Rhinolophus ferrumequinum: one gene and its partner. The protein of the gene in region 1 interacts with the protein of each later gene in a biochemical or structural test. Links are inferred from orthologs where the notes say so. Each region holds a gene or a part of one and is shown on either strand. Other genes may lie near its edges.

Region 1 (7,004 bases):
CTTTAGGAACTGCAGGGCCTTGTCCACATTCTCCAGGCAGTGTATACGCATGCGGCCCTTTGTGGGCTTTGGCTGTTGGGGGACAGGGGACACAAAGGCATGGGACCGTGGGCCTCCTCCTTCCTCCTTCCCTCCTACACCCCCAGGGCCCTGCTTCGCACACCTTCCCCAGCCTCTCCCTCAGGAACACGGGGACAGCCCCAGGGTTGGGCCCAAGTTCACAGAGCCAAAGCTGAGGTTGCAGAGGAGGCTGAGGCCAGATTAAGATTCCCAAGGGAATTAATTGCTCAAAGAGTGGGTGGGAAAAGAAATGTTTTCAATGGGACTACTGTTCCTGTCTCCATGAAGCAATGTTCCCGTTTAATCCCACAGCAAAACCTCTCAAAATGACACTGTCCTCTGAGCAGGGGGCAGCCGCTGCTTTCCGCTCTGCGGTATCACTCTTCTGTCCCGTGGCATGTCCTCTTGACCACTGTTCCTCAGGCTACCCCGTTCCTCGTGACCACAGCTCACCAGTGTCTCTCCCGAGAGCACCTCGAGGAGCCTCAGCAGGTTACGTCCATCCCGGAGGTCGCTGTACAGGTCTCCCACCCGACATGTCACCCGGGCCAGGTGTGAGTTCACCCACTTGGTGAAAGTTTTCTTCTGCACGGCTTCTCGCTCATCTGTGGTGGCAACATGGAGTTATTTCTGTCCTTCAAGTACAGTGTTTGCATCTGAACACCAGTTGGTGGGGTTGGGGGGTATCTGAGAGTCTGAAGTGAGGTCTGGGGAGGAGAAGGGGGAAGGAAGATGGCCAAAAGGAAAATGCCTAACTTAGAAAGCCGGGAAATAGAGAACTTAGAATAAGCTCACAAACAAGGTACAGAACAAAATGAGAGCGAGAAACAGGTTTTAAGAAGAAAGAATGGAAGAAATTAGAAGCGGTGGAACATGCAAGGAAGGGCTGGGATTTGGGATGAGGGTGCTGTCACGATAGTGGTGAAATGCTGTGACTTCATCCATCAGCACCTCACGTTCCTCATCTATAAAATGGGCCTATTACTTTCTTCTTCAGTGCGTCATTGTATTGATTAAATGAGACATGCGTGTATAATGTCTGGCATGAAATGGCTCCTCGGTGGCTTTCTGTTCTTCAGGTATGATCTAACCCCAAGGAAAGAGCGAGAGTCACTCAGGCCCAGCCAGTGGTATGGCTCTTCTCCAAAGGGGAGGGTGTGGACTTAAATTACGCAGCAGCTCTTCCAAGTGGCCAATGGAAGGATGCGATATTATAGAGGCTGCAGGCCACCTGAGTCAGCTTATTCTCCCGGGATAATTTATAGAAAAGATGGGCTTTTCTCGGGTGGGTTCATTCAGTGGGCTTCAGGGTGCATCCCAGGACAGCTACATTCCAACGCTGAGAACTAAAACCAGGTCTTGAAGTTGGGAACAGGGAAAAGAGTGAGCCCAAGAAACGGGGTGTGTGGTAGGGGTGGGGCAGAATTAGGTGCCAATCATCTCAAAAAACATGAGGGAACGTCCTGTTGCCTTGTCCACAGGGGGATCCGCTGCTGAAGGGATGCTCTTAGGTTCCAGAGGAAAAGAAAAATTAAAAATGTTATGAATGACAAAGTGAGGGAAGAGGCTTAGGCCATTGGACGCTGCTCTGGTCACCAAGATTTCTGCCAGTTCTCCCCAGAGGAGCCCAGAGCAAGGAGCCGGTCCCAGTAGTCAGGGCCCGGAGAGTCACTTTTGTTTCCTTTGTAGCACCAGCATCTCAGAAACCGAAAAGACTCATCCCTTAATCTCACATTCCTACGAACCTCACCCACGAAACATAGTGACACACCCAGGTCTAGTCCTGTCTTTACCTCCAACCTCTGAACCCGGGCCAACTCAGGGTCCTAGCAACTGTACGGGACGGCCTGTTGCTCTGCAGCACCTGCGGAACCAAGGGTGCCTTTGGGCCTCCTTTCAGGGATTTCCTGGATCCCTGGGGACTGTCCTGATTGATGCCAGGCACACGGGGGTGAGGTCATTTTGGCACACAGGTAGAATAAAAGGGGAAGACATGGCAACAGTGGCAGCTAGAAGACAAGTGTGCAAAACCAAGCACTGAGACAAAGGATAACTTCACAAGGCCTCCACACATCCATAGACTCCCCCAACACACACGCAAAACACAGTGACTCCCAGAAATACACTGACAGATTGGTGCCAGGTGAACACATGCCTGCTCAGACATACCTGAGCCTGTCTATACCAACTCCCTTTGACACATTCCCCGGTTCCCACACATACTGCCTCCTCACACATTTAGACACCCACTCAGAATCCCAGGGTGACACAAACAAGCCCTGGGCCCCTCAGCCTCCTGGCTCACTCCCCTTCTGTCCTTCTCCAACTATCCTAGCAGGCCTTCCTCTCCAAAGCCACTGACAGTGAACTATGTCAGTGAGACTGCGCGGCAGGCCTCCCGGTTTGCCGACACAGACGCTGCTTTCTCAGCCTCGCCCGCTGCCTGCTGCCTCCATGCTCATTGCATTCTCTGCAACACACACGCTCTACCGCACCCAGCAGGGCCTTGCGGTCACACCCACTCACGCTCTCACACAGTTCCTTCCAGTGGGTCCAAGCCTTTCCTGATGCTGTCAGCATCCATGAATTTTCTGGCTACTTATATAACTATTCCCTTGGCACACAGTCTCCCAACGCAAATGTTCCACTCTGTGATCTTGGCTCTGGCTCCTCTCCCACACCCCCAGACCCCCTCTCTCTACTCCCCTCTGCCCGCGGAGCTCACCTTGAAGCTGTTTGAAGCGTCCATCCAGCACGCTGGCGTACTGAGCGGGGTTGATGAAGGCAGCAGGTGAGAGCAGGAGACCCCCGGGGTTCTGAGCCCCTTCCACAGCCTCATAATAAAACTCACCAGCCCCATTCAGGCTGTGCCCGTGCACCCTGCTCACTCCATTCCCATTCATGATACCTGTTGCCTTCTACACAGCCTGGGGCCCAGAGTCCATGCTCTGCCCACACCGGGCCAGGCGGGAGGTTCTGCTTCCCCTAGAGCCGGGGATCCTGAGAGGCTGGGGTCCCGGGTGGGGGGCTGGTTCAAAGATGGTAGAAGTTTCGAGGAGTGGGAAAAAAGGAGTTACGGGACGTCTGAGCTCCTGAGCTCCGGGACAAGTAGCAGGGCACACCTGGCTGTGGAGAGGAGACAGAGGCAGCTCCAGACAAACAGGTTGGACAGTGCCGGGGGAGGGGTGGGAGGCGGAGCCCGGCCGGCTGGGGCAGGGCCAGGCCCTGCGGGGGCAGAGGAGGCAACTGCAAGCGCCTCTGAGACCTGCCCATCAGGCTCTAAGTTGCCTAAGAGTACAGTAAAGCCAAGAGAGGTTTCCCCAAAACAAAGTCCTGCTTCCCAAAGGCTTCCAGGAGCGACAAGGATGGCTCCTCTCTGGGTGACTCCGGGAGACCCCTCTTTTGGACATGGGCTTTGATCCCCAGTTCGGAGAGCAGAGAAAGAGAAATTGCTTAGGTCCCCTTATCTGTGAAATGGGTGTTTGTTATCCCTCCCACCGTTTGTCAGCACCTCCAGGCCCGCCCCTTCCCTGCCACTGGGCCCACTAGGCCCTCCCCAGCCAGGCCATCTCAGGCCCCCAGCACACCCACTGCTGGGCACATCTATCCAATTCCCCTCCTGCTTCTCTCTGGGCTCCAGCTCTTGTCCTTTACAGCCTACTGTTGCCCATCTCCTGTTTTCATTCACTCACACCTACTGGTGTAAGGCCCAGCATGAGACAAAGCCAGCACAGAGATGCCTCTTCAGAGAACCCCATTCTTGAAGATAAACACCTATTGACAGCGCAGGGCGCACAGACACAGCAGCAGTCCTGGGTCTTACGTGTCGTGTGCACACAGACATCATGACAGTTCTAGAGGCTACATGCATCCAAACTCAGGGCACCAGGGAAACTTCCCCCCAAAGAGATGACATTCTCCATAACCCACGCCTTCTGTCTTTTCTCATCTATGATGAGTATTTCATAAGCCAGCCTAATCCCAACCAGAAGGACAGAGAAGCCCAGGAGAAGACGGTAGGGTTCCCTAGAAGCTATGGCCAACACATGGGGGTCCTCATGTGGTGGGCTGGCTGAAAAGAATTACCTGGTGAACTTAAAAAACCCAACTGATTTCTGGACCACGTGTCCAAAGATTCTAATTCAGCGTGTCCAGGAAGGGGCTTCAGAGCCCATGTTTATAAAAATGGCCCTGGGTGATCCTGTAAAAAGTGTGGCCAGGTTTGGGAACTACCCCCTTCAGTGTATCCCTTCTTCCAGGAGGCCACCCCACCCACACTGGGAGTGCCACCTCTCAGGAGGGAATAAGTGGGATCTCTCCCAGTGACTGGACTGGGAGGCCGGCAGGTCAGTGGAAAAGACGAGGGTGGGATGGAGGAGGGTAGTCAGATAGAGTGGGTGGCCTTGGGGTGTGTGAGTGACTCAGTCCCACACCAGCCCTGGTGGTGTCAGGTGGCAGCTGCACTCTTGTTGCCATGACAACTCCTCCCGGAACGCAGGGAGGCCCGTCCAACGGGTTTGTTTGTGCTCAGAGGAGCTGAAGGGGAGAGCCCAGGCCATAGGGGAGGGCAGGGGCCGGGCAGAGAGCAAACCCCGGAGAATGGGCAGCTGCAGAAACCAGTGGAGGGTGGAGGGTACCCGCTTCAGGGAACAGGTAGAAGAAATAATGGGAGGAACAGGCGGCAGGTGGAAGGAACAGGTGGGGAGGGAAAGGAGAGGCTAATGGGCTGGGAGGGAGAACAAGTGTGAGAAATGACAGCGGAAATCGAGGAAGACACAGGGGATGAACGGCAAAGGAAAGGTGGGTGGAAACAGAATGGCAAAAGTAAGAGTGCCAAAGAATGAAGGACATGACTCAGGGACAGAGGCCAGAAGTCAGCTGAGTGCAGAGGGGAACACAGCTGAGTCCCGGGATCAGCATGGCTTCTCTATGCTGGGCGGAAGGAAGCCGGGGGACGTTCTGGATTGCATGAAGTCTGTTCTTGAGGCTGGCGTTGGGGATGAGGGGCTGGATAGGGTGATTTCCCACGTGAGTGCAGCAGCTTAGAAAGAAAGTTGGTCTTCCGACAAAGTTAAAGGAGTCCTCACAACTAGGGCCCGTCCCCGGTGTCCTCACCACCTACCCTGGCCCTCCCCTGATCTCACCTGCCAGGGCCTTAATGCGTGACCTTTCAAAGAGACGGGCTGAGCTGCTGTCATTGTCCCAGTCTGAGTCAGGCAGGTCCCAGCGGTTGTTGATGTCACTGTACTGGCCCTGGATCTCCAAATTGTCGAAGTCTGTGGGTGACAGCGTGCTGCTCATGGTGGTGGGTGGCCTCCTCCTCCTGTAAGGGGGAACGTAGCAGGTAAGGAGCGTCTCGGGGCCACGCAGCCCGCCGCTCGCCATGTCCTTCTGTCCTCCTACCCTAGATCTGCTCCGCTCTCCTGAAGGCCAAAGATTGTGGTTGGTTTTTCTGTCAATGGAAATCAGCCCCCAGCGGGAGAGGGGAAACCATGGTGGGGAAGCACACGTACAGGATGCACATGGACCGAAGTACCTCAGAGCCCCAGAGTCCCAAGCAGAGAGGAACCGTGAACAGTGAATAGAGCCGTGGCTAAAAGTGGTGGTGGCCTCCAGTGCAGTTCAGGACAGCAGCGTGTAAACCAGGGAATGCAGGAAGCATGGGGCCCCTTGGTTAGTAATGAGTATAAACCAGAGTTATTTTATTCCTAGCTTCCACAAACTGTTCTGAGCCCCTCCTCTATACCAGATGGCCTGCTATACCCTGGAGACTTGAGATGAAAAGGCCGAGATCCTGCAGAGCTAACACGCATCTCTGATACACCAGGAAGACGGATGCGCTGTTAGGTATGTACGGATACGGTGCCCAGGAGCTCAGAGGAGGACACAGTGCGATTCTCTCCCCTTTGCTTCCTTTCGTTTGTCATAGGGACTACTTAATAGGTGTTCAATAAAGGTCAGCGGTGACATGTGTCCTCACCATTTACATGCATTATCTCATCATAACCTATGGGGCGAGGGTCCACTATCATCCCCATTTCATAGATGAGGAAGCGGCACCGTGTAAGTTTAGTCACAGTTCAAGGTCACGTGGCTGGAAGGAGCAGAGCAGGGTTTTGAAGTGAGGTTCTTTCTGACTTTGGGGGACAAGCTCTTAATCACAACATTTACCCCCTCCTCGAACTTCCTGGAGTCCCTTTAAGCTCCCTGGGGAGAGATCAGCACCCATGGCTCCCTTCTAGGGACCAAGTTTTGGAAATCAGGACCAGGTACGCTTGCCAGCGTTACTTACGACTCTAGTTACGCAAACAAACTCTGTCCTCAAAACTCACAAATGAGCTTTAGATTAGCTGCTAAGGATTTAAAAACAACAACAACAACAAAAAAAACCTCTACTGTCCGAAGTTCTTGTGTAATTTAGCATTCATTCAGCAGCCATCCAAGGGAATGGAGGGAGCTGGATCTGTAACTTTATCTGCACCCCAAATTCTGCATTTCTCATTTTCCTAGTACCTCTCAAACACAAAGATATATTTTCATCCTTAGCTCCACTTCCTAGGGTCAGGGCTATGATCTTGGCATCTCTGGTTCTGGGAAGGAGGTACAGAGAAGCTCTTGTGTAGTTTTGGGGAAGGAAGAAGGAATGGGTGGTGAGCTGTGGGTGGTTAGGAAAGTGCGTTCCCATGGGCATGCAAAGACAGAACTTGGCTTCTGTCATTAACTGGTTCCACGAAGCTGAATCTGACCCACGTGAAGGCCAGGATTGCCTGCCCCTCCCTTCTCCCAAAGAGAAACACGTAAGGACTTCCCTGGAGGTAGCATGGATGACGTACAAGAGAGCTAAGGTCTCAGGTTCCCTGATTTAAGCTTTCACTCCTGTAACAGGAAAGAGAGCTTAATTTCCACGAGGCCCAAGACTACTTTCTGTTTAAAATCCATCATTT
Region 2 (7,966 bases), on another chromosome or scaffold:
ACATAGTCACAAAGACTTTTAAGATAGACAGTTTTAAGTATGTTGATCCATTTTAGGACAGAACTTAACCTTTGAGATCTTAGCAAAGACCTGAGCTTTAGAATAAACATAGTAATCTAATCAAAGTGTGGTGGTCCACAAAATGTCCTCCCGGAGCTGTCCTCCTCTTGTATTATCGTGTTGTGTTGTATTGTGTTGTATGCCTTTGGAAAGAATAACTTATGTTTAGTTTTTAAAAATCACTCTATTGTCATTAAAACACAGGCAAGTACACCGCCCCCTCACTCCCCTCCATTTTTCTCATTAAATTCTGATGAATTGGTTTGGTGCCAGAATAGGATGAAAGGAGTGGTCAACAATTGTCTTAATACTGGGAAAGATTGTGAACTCAATAACGAGGCTCTTCCCTCTCTTCCCTGCTTTCTTTGTTCTCCTTTATTTTAATTACACTCTTCTTAGCCCAGAAACAAAATTGTAGCCATATGTTAACCTATGGAGATGTTAAACCTGCTAAGATACATTATTCTCACAATATATAATTGCCTCAAATATTTAAAATGATTTTTCTTATCCACCTTTCACTTTGAAACAAACTCTCTAAATGGCAAACAGCAAGAACTACCGAAGGCCCCAAATATAAAAATGTGGCAGATGCTCAGTAAACCCTAATGGGACAATTACTTAAGTTTCTCCTACTTCACCGATTGGCAGAATTATTGGCATAATAAAGGAAATGCTTTCCTAGAGAAAAAAAACAAGTTGATTCTTTAAACCTTAACAATGAAAATGCACCACTACCTTAATGAATTTCAAATACATTACCAAGAAAGGGAAAGGAGAAACTAAGAAGCATTAGCCTAAGTGATATTAAAGAAAATGAGGGGGAGATTGAACTTCTGCCCAATAATTCAAGAAGCAGATTTGGTGGGATGGACACACTGCTTCTTCATGGCTGATGAAAAAAAGGAGCTAATTTCTTTTTCAAATTATGAAGAAGGCAGATGCAGCACACACAAACAAGCTGAAGACAGAAATAGTGGTTTCTGAAAAATCAACGTCAAGAACAAGGAGTCCTACTCAACCCTGTGCAGTAACTAACTAGGCTGCCCCACCCCATCCTTTATTTAGGGACATCATTGTTACTGTGATAGAGATATTTAGTCATTCATCCACCTACCCATCAATGCAATGAAAAAACACTGAGTACTCAGTGATGCCTGAACATAGGTACTCTGGTGTGTGGAAGGAGGTGGGAAAGGGGAAAGTATTAAAAAATAAAGGGATACCATCTTTTCCCACAAGGATTTAATAGTCTAGTGAGTGAAACAAACAAACAAACAAAATCCTCTCCAAAATGATTTGTCTCATTGAACTCAACTTCTTGCTTTTCAAGGCAGAAGCCATACTCCTGAAGAGAGGGAAAGCTAACAATAAAAAAAAGCACCCTTTTTTGAAAAAAGTTAGGAACTTGGAACCTGATCTCGATTTGAGTCTTGGCTCCTCAACTCACAAACCTGGTAGTTCGAATACTGTTATTTAACCTCTCCAAGCCTCACTTTCCTGCATAAACTGAGGATAATGATTCCCATCTACCTACCAGAGCTGGAGCTTAAAAGAGATGATGCAAATGAAAAGACCTTGCAATTTACCTAAGGTCCAAGAGGGCTGGATCAACAGAGCAAATCTGACAGTCATCTTAGGAGAGAGGGAACGGGCAGTTTTGCCTCAATGGAGAGATTTAGAAGGGGTACAGAAAAGGTATCAACCAATTTTGGTGGGATCAAACCTTTGGAGGAAAGAAATGCAGTTGTTTTACGATTGTCTCCTTCCGCGCAAAATAAGAGCAATATTTAGATTCTTTTCATTTATCACTATTGATGCTTGGCGTGGGGGAATGGAATAACGGATAAAGCACTGGATTTAGTGCGACCTTGTTTGAAACCTCTTCGCGCTCGTTTTCTCATTTGTAAAACGAGCATCAAACGTCCTGCCTTAACTATGTACCCAGTTTTTGTGAGGATCCAACTTGAAGGTTACGAGTATGTGAAAGCCCTCCATAAGCGCTAGAGAGCCTGGCAAACACTATGTAGGTAAAATTTCCCCCCCAGTAACTAGGCGTTCCAAAGAGGAAGGTACCTCCCTGCTTGCTTTGTCACTCTCCCTTCTTCTCGAACTTTATTAACGCTATAATTTACAATCACAGAAATAACTGAAATCTGATGGCCATTTCTGACACCACATTCTTGGGCCCCACCCAGATACACCGCCAAGCAACCCGGCCAGCTCCAGACCAAAGGAAACTTAGCCCTTCTCCACCCGCGGACCGGCCCTAGCCCATCAGGCCCTACCACTGAGAGTTCCGACAGCCAATCCCCACAGTCCTCGTGCACTGCCCCGCCCCTTAAAGAGAAACGCTTTGACGGCCCGGAAGAACGGCAAGGGCGCAAGCCAATCACTGCAGAGGGCAGCCCTCATCAGGCAAGGCTCAGAGGCGGGGTCATCGGTCAAGATGGACAGCCAGAACAGCCAATAGAGTTATCGGAAACTGGGGAGGGGCGGGTGCCGGGCGCTCACAGAGCGGTTAAGGCCCCTAAGAGTCAAGGGCCCAAGGACCCGGCTCGGACTACAGCTGTTCCCTTAATCCACTCCCAAGTTCTCTATCCCATGGTTGCTGGCCGGCCGCCCTGCGTGCGGTCTATGGGTGGAGGAAGGACGGAGGTAGCGGCGGTTGAACCCGCCTGACAGGCCAGACCAGTGACAAAGAGCCGGCGGCGCAGGCTTGAAAGCCGGGAAGCGATCCCTTCGGGGAGGAGAGCATGAGTCCCTTTAGAGAAATGGAAGACGAAACTCACGTTGTCGATCACAACAGGCTGGTTGGCGATCACATCGTAGGACTCCATGGCAGAGGAATCTCTCCTTCTGAGGAAGGAACTGCCTGCCGGGTCCGCAGCTAGCGCCACTGACGCGCATGCGCAGTCTAGCCGCTGATGCAGGGCGGCCAGGGAGCGGCCAGACCTCGCCTCGGAAGAACTACAACCCCCACGATGTCTTGCACCTGCAGTTAGAGGGCAAGGCAGTTTCGGAGCCCCGCCTAATTTAAGAGACCCATTACCCGGTGTTGCGTTTCCGACGCACAGTACCCTGGGCTTTGTAGTTTCCATAGATAAATACACGGGGATTCAGATTGATGGTTGTATTGCAAGCTTGGATCTGTAGGGATCCCTTTGGAGGGATTCGCAGTGCATGCTGAAGTACTTGTCTGTAGTTCGCTTTGGATTGATCAGTAATTCGTAGATGTTCGGATTTTACAGATCAGTTCTGCCACTCCGCACCACTTCTGGACAATATTAAGGCTACCATGTTTTTATCTGGATCCATAAGATATTAATAAACATCTATGGCCACCACACTCTAATAAAATAAATTTTAATACACACACATACGGGGAAGGACATATTCCCAGAACAAAGGAAATAAATTGCATAAAATTTGCTTTTTAGGAAAAAAATAACAACACATTTTCATTGCTTTTTGCATTTTTTCCTGGATAGGTATAAACTTTGCAACAGGCTAACACTGGTCTGAAGACTGGCATTTGGAATTATTGGTAGAGAATTGACATTGATGAGTGAGAAAATGGAGGTGAAAAGTCACTGCTTTCAAATGATTTCAGTGCATTTTTCTCTAGATTATTTCCTCCGCTGCTTCAAGTTGCAGGGATGCTTGTAGTCAATAGCACTGGTAGCCTGGACTCCTTTCTATTCGTCTTTTGGAATTTCTTCAAGATCATTGAGTGGGAGATATTACTTTTTGAAAAGTTATTGTAAACAAGAAAATAATTCCCAACCCGGTGCCTTAGAAATTAAAAATTCTCCCAGTTACAGAGAGTCAAAGTAATGGAGAATGGCAGGCCCATAGTAGATAATGAACATTGGTGTTCCTCAAGACAATCTGCATATCTCTGCCTAAAACACAACAAAGAAGAGATTGTCATTAACATCTATTAAATAATTACGAAGTTTCTTTAATTGATCCTAGTTTACCAAACTCTTGTTACTTTCCATCAGAATTCCATAATAGGTATTTTGACATACGACCCCTGAGTTTGGTGGTGTTGGTGTCAGTCAATACGATTAGTGGACATTCCAAGGTGTAGGAAACATTCAGATTTAAATCTATTTAAACTAGTGCCAAATGGAGGAATGAATTAATCTATTGTCAAACTTATGTTTAAATCCTTGTTAGCGTGTCACCCGACCAGTGATAAGCTCTTCGTCAGCGCACTTCCCAGTGCTTATGTGGGACCCTAGCACCTCAAAAGGATGGCTCCACATCTGTATTTAAACCTGGGCTCCTCCTAACACTAGGGGGAGGCCAAGAGCCTTGGGATACCCCTAACACAGGGAGAGGGAGGCGGGACCTATTGTCAAGGCACGCAGTCCCACGTGTGACTGGCACAGACATTAGCCAATAGAATCTGGGATAGGGCGCGCCGGTGCCCCGCCTCCTTGAGCGTCCAGCGGCCCCCCCAGGCAACCTCTGGCTATCTCTGCCGCGGCGACGGCCTGGGCGGACGGTGCGCTGTGCGCAGGCGCGAAGCCTAGACCTCGCTGCAGCCCCCATCGCCTAGGGGAGTCGCACCCTCCAGGTTCGCCCGCTGGCGCGTCAGTGCTCTGCCGCTCGTCTGCCCTCCCGGGTTCTCCCAGCGCCCTACGCGCCCGGATGGCGGAGCTGCGGCCTAGCGGCGCCCCCGGCCCCACCGCGCCCCCGGCCCCTGGCCCGACTGCACCTCCGGCCTTCGCCTCGCTGTTCCCTCCGGGACTGCACGCCATCTACGGAGAGTGCCGTCGTCTTTACCCTGACCAGCCGAACCCGCTCCAGGTTACAGCTATCGTCAAGTACTGGTATGCCCTGGGCCGCGCGGGGACACCAACTGGGCAGGCTGGGCAGGGTTAAAGCACCAGGGACGAAGTAATATTCGGAGGAGGAGGAGAAGAATGGTTAAAGCACTTGGATGAAGGGCTTCCTGCTGCGAAGGAAGGAGTTGTAAATGGGGACAAAGGGGTTAACGGAGCCTGTGGGTAGCGAAGGGTTAACGAGGGCGGGGAGGTTGAAGGGTTAACTGGAATTAGGAGAATAGAGTGAATTGGGAGTGTGTAGGAGCTGAGCGGGGAAAGATAGGAGAGTGGGAACTGTAGACGTGGTGAAAGGAGGGGGCGCCTGTAGGGGGTCATTAGTGGGCGAGGGGAAGCCAAGGGGGGGCAGCTGAAGTGGGATGGGGGAGACGAGGCGGGGCCTGGGGAGCATATGAGAGGGCTTTGGAGGAGCGCGGCTGGAGGAGCTGCGAGGGTATGAGACTGCACAGGGTAGGGGTGGGTCTGTGGACTCGGGCTCTCCTGCCGTTTAGAAGAGCAAGTTGTGAGCGTTATGCTTGTGAAGAGATGAGGAGGTCTCCTTTTGATACTTTCCCAATGAACTCAGACATCATATCAGTGCGGTGCTTTGGGGTTTGAAGTTTCACGGAACAACTTTTCCTGATAAACTTTCTGCTTACTCTGCACAGTTTTTTTCCTGCAGAGCTTCCTCTGCCTCTGCAGCTGCTTTGCTTTAAGACATTGGCTAGAACAGAGGTAGGGTCAGGGAGATCCATGATTTGGCTGAGGATGGAAGGGGACCACAGTAAATGCTGAAGACCTGGGACTTGGACAGGGAGGAAAGAAGGCAGTGAGATGTTGAGGAGCTTCCTGGCCACAAGCTTCAGGATTTAGGAAGCAGTTTCTGAGAGAAGCTGAGAGTAACCCCCAAGTAGTTGTTAAAGATCAGACCTGTTTACAGATGGGCTACCCTTGGAGTAGAAATGGTCTTTTTCAGTTTCTCATTCCTGTTTGCAACCTATTTCTTCCTGCAACCTTTGGGCAAAACTGGTGTTATGGGGACTGTTGGAAAGGGTCTGTCTTCGTGGTCTTTCTCAACCAAAAGTTGACGGAGGAATTGGTTGAATCTGTCCAGAACCACATTCATGCGGGCACTGTATTAGATGACTCCCTTCATTGAGTCCTGGAAGACTGTTCAGGCAGCTGCTTGCGGTGTGGCCTAAAGGGCAGATAGACTCAAAGAGGGAAGTGCAAAGAGTGGATGCCTTGCTGGTTACCTCTCCCTTTAGAACTGAGTCTCCTCCGTGACAACATCTTACTTCCTCCGGAGATGGCAGAAGCTAGGCTATAGGACTTAGGCCAGCTAGCTCCCGGTGTAGACGGGAGCATGTAAAGAGGCTGACAGTGTGAAGGGCCTGGGGACCTGCCACCTGCGCCTTAGGTAGGCCATGGGGAGCAACCTGCCTCTGTCTGGTAGCCAGGAGGAGGTGTGGCCAGCGATACAGTTCTTTCTGGCAAGCAAACTGTTCTTTGGTTGAGAGAAGTTTTTGAAGAGAGCTTCTGACTGAATCACAGCTCTTGATAACTTAATCACCCATTCAAATCGCACCTCTATACTTAAATATGTATTGTGATGAACTATATTGGATTGTGTCATGAGGAAAGTGGGCCTGGTTCTGCCATGCTGTTTGTTCAGGCCTCATTTGAGTGTAAGGAGAAATCCACTGACAGACTTGGGCAACTTTTTATGTCACCCATGTGGCCAGGAGGATAGTGTTGTATGGAAAAGGTATTGAAGCACATGCAAAGGACTAAGACTGGTTTGGGCAACTGTTTTTTTTCCTTCTTGCTGCAAGCTTGTTAACCAGCCAGGACTTATCTTTAGATGGACTAACATGTAATGACAAATAACGACGATTTACAGCACTCTGTGAAATTAGAAATGCTGCCTAGACGCCGAAAAATATGAGGGAACAGCTCAGTGACTAGTTCTTTCTAAGGTTTGGCGGGGTTTGCATAATTAAGATCCTGAAATGAATTCATCGATGTCCCTCATGTTAGAGATACCACAAGGCCTCTTCAGTTCTCATGGCAGGATGATGGACCCAGGCTGCCTGAGTCTGGCTGTGGTCCAGGGTACCTTGGTATTCCTTTTCTCGTGACAAAAGGGTGGCTCTTTGGCTAGTGGCCTCTAGCTAGCAAGGACGCTAAAAGCCAAGACTGTAGTGAGCAGGGAGCGGACGCAGAGGGGCAGAGCCTGTACCTTGCGGTCACTCCAGTCCTGCAACTGCCTTGGGGAGTGAAGTCAGGTGTTCAAGGTATGAAGTTGAGGGATGCTCTGGGTCCTTGGATAACATCTTTTTTCTAAATGCACAATACGATTATTTTCTACATGCTCATGGCCTACCCATCCTGTCTCTGAGTAAGTAGAACAGAAGAACACTCTGCACTTGGAGACTAGATTGATTTTGTCTGATTCTTGGTTATTCCCTGCAGTTGGAGTTTTAAGGTAAAACCTCTCTCCTTGATGCAATACCTCCTGGGACACTTGGCCAGAAAGAGGGCTGCAGTAGTGTGGCAGATGAAGCACAGAACGGGGAATGCAGTTTTCCCACTTGTTGCTGGATGGACCAAGGCTGGAGGAGGGTCAGGACTGGGAATTTGCAGTAGGAAACTGGAGCAGATATGGAGCCTGTCGTCACTTCCATCTATTCTGGGGTTCTGCAGCTATCATGGGGTACTTCCAGGGATAGCTACCCTTTTCTTTCCTCCCTCCCCCGACAAACCTCCCTAAATCTGACTGGTTGTGGGATTAGTCAATTGATTTTGCAAAATCAAAGTTAAAGAAAGATATGGAGATTTGTCCCTAAGCTATTTGTAGTGACTTTCTTACATGTTCTATAAATAACTTAGCTTTCCTAGCAGAGAATAAGGATTTCTACAAAGGCAAATAATATCCTGACAAAAGAGGATGAAACCAGACCTACTGGTTTTAAATAGTGTTTAAATTGTGTGGCACTGGCATGCTTGCTGGGATCACACGTAACACATCTTTTATTTGGTTGTTTGCGTTCCTTTAGCATATGATCCCA

Evidence for each region.
Region 2: the proteins of SPTBN2 (region 1) and ACTR1A form a complex in vitro, tested with the Homo sapiens proteins (2 studies listed by BioGRID). The link is inferred for Rhinolophus ferrumequinum from reciprocal best matches to the Homo sapiens genes SPTBN2 and ACTR1A.

Annotation. Positions count from the first base shown.
Region 1 is NC_046294.1:5,299,815-5,306,818, reverse strand, and holds the start of SPTBN2 (spectrin beta chain, non-erythrocytic 2), read right to left. Parts: upstream 3,100-7,004; 5' UTR 2,964-3,099; coding exon 2,786-2,963; intron 666-2,785; coding exon 514-665; intron 73-513; coding exon 1-72. UniProt on the Homo sapiens protein: Probably plays an important role in neuronal membrane skeleton.
Region 2 is NC_046299.1:22,535,971-22,543,936, reverse strand, and holds the start of ACTR1A (alpha-centractin), read right to left. Parts: upstream 3,007-7,966; 5' UTR 2,901-3,006; coding exon 2,853-2,900; intron 2,835-2,852; exon of another isoform or gene 2,204-2,834; intron 1-2,203. Other genes in the region: SUFU (suppressor of fused homolog), read left to right, coding at 4,723-4,904. UniProt on the Homo sapiens protein: Part of the ACTR1A/ACTB filament around which the dynactin complex is built. The dynactin multiprotein complex activates the molecular motor dynein for ultra-processive transport along microtubules.